Linked DNA regions of Drosophila melanogaster. The protein of the gene in region 1 purifies or fractionates together with the protein of each later gene. This does not show direct contact. Each region holds a gene or a part of one and is shown in the gene's direction. Other genes may lie near its edges.

Region 1 (3,755 bases):
CTGATGCTGAAGACAAATCAAAATCCGCGCGATGGATTTGGGGACGAAATGTCCGTCAGTATCCTGTACACAAAGTACGATCTGCTAAGCTTGAGTAACATTGTGGGCAGTGAGAATGCTGCGAAATTGACTTCTGGTCAAAAGGATTCCTACCTTTTCTCCACCAAAACGTAAATGCTTACACGAGAGCTGACTTTGAAATATGTACATATTTAGTTGTCAATTAGAATATACTAAATGTTAACGCAAGTAAATAGTAATGTATGTGATAACTTTCAGTTGTGGCTCTATTTTTGGACCTAAATACTTTCGTGACGTAGAGATTTTAGGAGGAACTGGCTAGGTGATTGATCTGATGTTAAGGGTGGCGATGTCTTCTCTTTGTTATTACGCAATTTGAAATTATGAAAAAATGAATAATTGGCAAATGGTTGTGTAATAAGAGGCAGCATAAGTAGTGTTTTGCCGATTGATGAAATGATTCAAAATGCATTTGAATTCAATATATTTTGCCTGTTTTTACTTTAATATCCCTTTTTTATAAAGGAAGATTGGCCAGAGCATTATGCAATAAAAGTTATCATTTATAAGGCAATTAAGTGTTAAAAAACATTATTTTGCAGTTTGTATTTGTTTTTAAATGATCACTTCGCTTGATTGCTTGAGATTGCTGGAATCTGGAACCATTACCATATACCGAGTTCCTAAATAGACAATATCCAGCGGTTGACAACCGCATCAAACCCAGATTTGCCAGTCCCAAAATAAATCAAAATTCCTGGCTGCATTGTCATTTATCAACATTTTTAAATATACACATAGGTAGCTTATAAAAGTTCTGGCCTAGACATATAGAGGTAAAATAGTAGCCAAATGCATATTTATGGGGGTCTCTGTGAAAAGTCGTAATAGCTGCTGCACAAGGCGGATGGCTGATGGCGGATATCATACGGCAGAAACGTGTGCGGAGAGCGCTCTTGCCAATATCTGAGAGTCCGAGTCCGTAGGGGCATTACAAGCCTATAAATAAAAATAGTCGACGGCTGCCAGTCTCTGCTGAAATTGGGGAAAAAGGCAGAAAAGCCAAACGAAGAACTAGGGGTTCGCAGGCCGACTGGTGGATGCTCTTTCAGCTGTTAATGGATCGAGATCAACTAGATTGAGGAAATGAGTATTTGGGCTGGGATTTGGGATCTGTTGTATTTGCCAAGGACAAGTAAAATATTCAAAGGGCAGCAGCTATGGATAACTATGATGGATTCTAGCTCGGCGAAAGTGGAATGCGTCAGTGCCAGTGCCATCATTCCCAACCATCCCCCCACCAAAGGACCCAAGTCTTGACCCACTTGAAGTGGCTGACACCGAAGGTAGAAACACCTTTGAGTGACAAACCCTTCCACACAACCCAGCATAATTTCCCCAGATTGGTTTAAAAATACCACTTTCTAAATATTAGACAAACACACGTGCATTTCTCGGAATACGTCTGCACTCACACTCCCAGGCACATCCACATCCACAACCACATCCACGTCCACAAGTGATCTCGCATCGCCACATTGCCATTGCTCTAGACTTTCGTGGCCGTGCGCTCCCGCGGATCCGAGATCGGGCGGCCATATGTACGTATGTATGTATGTGGATGGGGAGCTCGTGTGCCCGTGGTATTGTGGTATTCCCACCTATACCTAGCCACATATACGAATCTCTGGGGGACCACGGTGAATCTGCCTCGTCGAGGTACGAACGAGCTGCACGAGCAGATCTGAACCGCCACCATTCGAATTCGGATCGCATTGGATTGGATTGGATAGGTGGTAAGTGCTCAAAAGTTTGTGCGTGCTAAAAGTATTTTCCCGGGCCAAAATAGAGAGTGTATGTAGTTTTGGGAATTTTGCCAAAATATATGAATTTTGTAATTCAAATAGACACTCTCATCGCGCAGCGTTCTCCTTGCGTTCAGTTGCCGTTGATCGTTATAATAGCGCGATCTTTGTGTCTTGGTCTTCCGACTGAAATAAATTATTATATAATAACGGAATTTTTGCTAGGAATAATAATTGTAAGTTTTGTTGATTTTCTGCAACAACTGCAAAGCGAATACGCCAGTGAATTACTCCAAACTGCCAAAACCATTGGGTAAAGCAAATAAACCCCCCTAAAAACTATCGAAAATTCGTCCGCGCGCTTTCAAAAGAAAAGAAAACCTGGAAACCAAAAGTTATTGAAATGCCTACATATCTACATACGAACATGCTTCTTACACTCGAAAACCGTGCTTCAAACTCAAAGTGTTTGCCCCCAGTTTACTTTGCCACCCTGGAGCTCGTCCAGAGCTCGTAGTTCGATCTATCTACATACATGAAATATCCGTAAGGGCGACGATTCGGCGGTGACCTCGACCTCCGGATGGTATCGAAAATTTGAATGTCACCAATACGAGAGCACTCCACGAATAGATTCGATCCGACACAGATGTAAAGTTTTCCAAGTGCCCGAGATCTATGTATCTGTGATTGAAAATCTGGTTATGCAACCACAACCGCAACCGTGGCGAATATATTCGTACCCAAATTCGAAAGATCCATGTCTTGTACTGTACCTGTAGCCCTTGTAACAAGCATAGAACACACGATCTCTTGAACTCCTTAACTACCCGCATTCATAGCTTAATGGTGGTTACATCGGTTAGTGAATTTGACTGCCTTTCAGTTGCAAAAGATCCCTGAAACCAACAGACAGTTTTACAGAAACGTGTAGCTCTATAAGTACATTCAGCCCAGGATCATGGCCCAATCATTTGTACTTATTTTTGAACCCACCCACCCACTATTATACAACCCATCGGTGGACTTGTCAATCAGAAATTCGGATTCGGGGACGTGGGAAGCAGCATATCGCACAAGTGTCGACATCCATTAGCATGGAGATATCTCTGCTCGCAATATCATAAGCCGTTAAATCGTACATATAACCGCGCAGAATAGGAATCTTTCTCCCTACGATCGTCTCTCTGTATATGTACTCAAACTTATTTATGTGGTCCTAGTACATATCTTTATATCTACGAGTGTTCAGAATTGAGCTGTATTTTTCGGGTGCTAGGACTCTATTTTTAGCCCATCTCGGACAGAGGCGATTTTTTGCTCCATAATGCACACACACATGTGTATTTTAGGGGTATATATAGGCTATATGCATGAAGATGTTTTCGAAACACACGTCTCTGTGCTCAAAATATAAGTAGTATTCGAGCGCATTGATTGACAGTTTTTTGAAAACTAACGCCTTTTGTGGGCGGGCAACTGGTGGAAACCTCGTTATCAGAAGTTACGTATGTAATTCTGTGACGTAGCCAGCGTAATATTCAAGTATTATGCGAGTTGGCTGCCGTTCAAAATTCCCCGTATGGCCTGATTCTAGTGTCTGGTCGCGAAAAAGATTAAAATTAAAATTTAAAAATGTCGCTGCTGGCGAATACCTGGCACCCAGATCTATTTATTGCGGGCTCTTGATCTCGATCTCATTAATTTGAGCACAAAATGCGCGAAAAGAATAGTGTTGCTTGTTGTGTGGCCAAAATAGTGCGGATGTCTCTGTCGCTTGCCAAGTGAAAATATGACAATGTATAAATAAGTTTAAGCATTCGTGATAAGGATTTCAGTTCGATTTACACCACAGAAGGGAGTAAAAACATTTGGTTTTCGATCGCAATAACAACTTGATTTATAAGGTTAGAGGTATTTTCCAATAAA
Region 2 (3,755 bases), on another chromosome or scaffold:
AAGATATTAGCTGGTAGCGGGTTAATTGAATTCGGAATTATATTATCACTATAAGCGAGTGATTACTGTATTCCCACCCACTAAGCCCAGTCTTCCTCCCTCTTCCTCTTCCTTTTCCCTTTTCGGTCGCTCTTATTGTTACGTTTGATGGGGGGGGGGGAGATGCCACCGTTAGAAAGCCAAAGTCACTCACCTCTCGCTCGCACCTTCAGTGGCGCTCGCTTGCCGTCCCGCTCGCTCTCACTGCGCTGTGGCCGTTGGTCCGCTGCAGCTAGTGCAACAGCAACAACAACTACAACAACTGCAACTGCTCTGGGAGCCGCAACAACAACAACAACAGCAGCAAGCACGAGGAGAATGGCCAGCGGAGGGCACGAAAATCCGTAGGCCGCCCATCTGCCGACCTTTAATGACGTTTCGCGATGCTTCCTAAGCCGTTTGTTGTTCTCCTACTTTCGGGCGGGCGCACTTTTATTTATGTTTTTATTTATTTGTGGGTGCTGCTCCACTTTGTGGTGAGATTTATTGTTTTTGCCGATCGCGTTTCACTTCAAACTTGTGCGGCGCCTATTTGCATAGAAGTGTGCGTGTGTGAGTGGGTGGCGGGAGGGGCGGGAAAAAACATAAACATAAACATTTTATACACATTTCGTCACAAATAAAGAGGCGCACACACACATACACATGCACTCACGGTGTATCAACAAAAAAAAGCCTCTCTCTCGCTCGCTCCCTCTCACTCTCACTCCCTCTCTTTTACTCTGGCGCTCCCACACAAAACACACTACACAGGCAAAACGGCCAAGCCAGGTGGATTTCTCCGAATTTTCATAGATGCTTTTCGGGCTTTCGCAAGTTATGTTACATGCTTGTTTTAAGATAGGTTACGAGAAAACGAGGAAAAACACTTTTACGAATCCTCCCCCTCTCACGTACACACACAAATGCACCTTACACCCAACAAATACATACGCACGCACACGCACACGTCGAGCGTTTGGCATACGAAAACATGATGCAAACTTTTCCTATTGGAAACCAATTGTGTTTTCCATCTGAATCGGATGGCACCGTGGGCCGAAATATTTACTATTCGCACATAAAAATCGCATCGTACAGGGCTCACTCAATAAACAAATCACAGGAAAAAAAATAAATAACCCAATGCACATTAGAGGTGGAACTAGGACCTATTTCCATGCGATACTATCGATAGATACGTATCAAGTTTTGTTGGTGCTGTGTGTAACGGGCAAGGAGAGCGGATGGCAACTCTTGTCGCGGCGCGTATCTCCGATAGAAGAAAAGGTGGCAGCACAGAATTTATGGGCGCACTGGGTTAGCAGAGGAGCAAGTACTTGCTAAGCGTGAGTGTTTGGCATCCCAGATGTGGAACTTAGTTCCACAAAGTAAAGTAAGTAAATAAGTAAAGGTGGCAACTAATGTCGTAAACAATATTACCGCTTGGGAATCGATTCTTTTCGATTCTAAAAAAGATCGATTAAGTCGAAAAAAACGGCCTTAAATCAATTAATCAGCTTAAAAATTAAGAGGCAGCTCTTATGCTTAGAATTTTTGTTATCTAAAAAAATGCAATGTTAATATATTTTGTAAGATCAATATGTTTTCATAGATTATTTATAATCCACTGGTACGTAGGGGGCAGTACAAATGTGATTAATTTAATTGAGGAATATTACTTTAAGATTAGATTTGTCACCTTATAAAGATAGATAGACATAGCATCGATTTCCTAGTAATGTTATCGATTTCTTCGCCCATCTGAAAATATCGATTAGATCGATTTTGAAATCGAATTGCTCACAGCTCTACTGACAACACCAAAGTGGCTGATTTAAACCATCTGATATTTACTATTTATCCGCAATCCTGACAGAACCATGAACGATCTGAACCTGCGCGTGGCCGCCTTGAAGGTGTGTGCTCACCCCAAGAGATTTGCCGAGCTGCGCGACGCCCTTGTGCCACTGCCCAACACGTGGATTGCCGGTGGGTTGTGGTGGGTCACTTAGTGACCACCAGTAAGCTATGTATAAACATGCATGCTGAGGCTCCAATCGCTTCTCCATTTTCCAGCGCCACATGACTTTGTGCTCCAGTTCGCGGCGGCCAAGAGCAGTGCGGAGCAGGTGCAGGTGGTCAAGGATGTCTTTTACGGGGAGCAGGCGCAAGATCATGAAGATGTAGCCCACTTCCTGGCGGATCTCCTGCTGGCCAGTCCCCTGAAGCACGCCGTGCGCAACCAGCTGACCAAGTACGGTGAGCCCACGGCGACTCAAGCCACACGATCCAACTGGATGTCCTATAGCCGATGATCAATCCCATTTAGACTCTTCTCGGACAATGCGCTGGCCAAACAGAATGCGTCGCCACATCGCAGGCACTCGAAGGAGCACCTGCTGGAGGCTCTGCAGCAGTCGCTCGGCGAAATGGCCAACAGTCTCGCAGTGATCACGCCGCCTGTCAGCCACGAGCGCACCAACGATGTCTTCGTGTCCGCCAACGCCTGCCTGCAGAACTTTCCCTTTGGACGGGAGGCCCTGGGCAAACAGGTGCATCGCTTTGCGCCGCTGCTAACTACCGCCTTGGAGCGCTACTGGGCGGACATTTGGTGCGTCAATCTAATGTATATGATAGCTGCGCACAATGCTGACTCCACAATTACCTTGCTTTAAGACAGTGACCCTACGCTGGAACTCTCGCCAACGCGTCGCAACGAGCTCTACTTGTACGTGCAGAATGCGCTGCGGTTCTTGGTTAGTCTGCTGGCCGAGTGGAGCGACAAGTTGCGCCTGTTCGAGGATCAGCGGTTTCCGGGCACGTCGAATGCGGTGGCCCAAAAGGTGGCTCGCTACTACGACACTCCGTGGGACGTACGCTCCATTGCCGCCCTGCTGATCGGTCACCTGGCTCGGTTTTCCGGAACATTCAAGGCGTATGTCGAAGACTGCTCGAGGCCAAAGGCAGAGCAGGATGTTCCCATACAGATGGCCGCCCTGCTCGTCCTGCGGCCCGTCGATTATACAGAAAACGCTACACTAGCACTGGCTATTCTGAAGAGGATCGTGGCCGTCAGCGAGCTGAAAAGCACCGTGACCAATCTGCTTGTCTTCCTTTCCAAGCATCTGTTCATTTACTCCAAATCGCTGGGCGAGATGCACGCCCATCTTCCTGACGACCAGAAGTTGCTATACCAACGGATCTTGGCACAGCTGCAGGTGTTCGCCCTGCAGAATATCTCCAGTGACACGGACTCCGTGCGCCACATGAGCAGCGCCCTGCTGCACCAGGTGCTGCAGCACGCCCAGGCCGCCGGCCAGGAGGAGCTCTTCCAAGTCGTCTATCGCCAGTTTGAAGATCGTGCTGCATACCTAAATGCCAGTTGCATGGCACTGGAGCAGCTGGTTGCGGTGGCCGGAGTCAGCAAGTCCATCGAGAACTGTCCTTCGCTGTTCGGAGTCATATTCCCGCGCCATCTGGGCTGTGAGGATTGTGTGGATGCCCTGTTCAAAGGCAAGTATCCTTCATTGAATGCAGCCTCGAATCGTGTACTTATTCCTTTTGTTATTATACTTATTAGCCATGATGGTATCGGCCCACAAGACGGAACCCTTCGCCGAGTGGCAGAGCCGGTGGTTCGGTCTGCTTTTGGCGGCAATCCGCGTGCCGGAGAAGCGCCGCCAGGTCATTGAGGAGCTGATCGCACAGGCCGTACAGCTGGAGCCAACGAGACT

The links.
Region 2: the proteins of SERCA (region 1) and THADA purify together in Drosophila melanogaster (affinity purification with western blotting; one study listed by BioGRID). This does not show direct contact.

Annotation. Positions count from the first base shown.
Region 1 is NT_033778.4:23,933,887-23,937,641, reverse strand, and holds the start of SERCA (Sarco/endoplasmic reticulum Ca(2+)-ATPase), read left to right. Parts: upstream 1-1,757; 5' UTR 1,758-1,817; intron 1,818-1,961; exon of another isoform or gene 1,962-2,062; intron 2,063-3,557; exon of another isoform or gene 3,558-3,733; intron 3,734-3,755. Other genes in the region: CG3735 (uncharacterized protein), read left to right, coding at 1-174. UniProt on the Drosophila melanogaster protein: This magnesium-dependent enzyme catalyzes the hydrolysis of ATP coupled with the transport of calcium.
Region 2 is NC_004354.4:19,863,605-19,867,359, reverse strand, and holds the start of THADA (THADA), read left to right. Parts: upstream 1-1,835; 5' UTR 1,836-1,901; coding exon 1,902-2,010; intron 2,011-2,097; coding exon 2,098-2,275; coding exon of another isoform or gene 2,276-2,280; intron 2,281-2,350; coding exon 2,351-2,632; intron 2,633-2,697; exon of another isoform or gene 2,698-2,701; coding exon 2,702-3,534; intron 3,535-3,601; coding exon 3,602-3,755. UniProt on the Drosophila melanogaster protein: Together with methyltransferase Trm7-32, methylates the 2'-O-ribose of nucleotides at position 32 of the anticodon loop of substrate tRNAs. Plays a key role in energy homeostasis by regulating the balance between energy storage and heat production.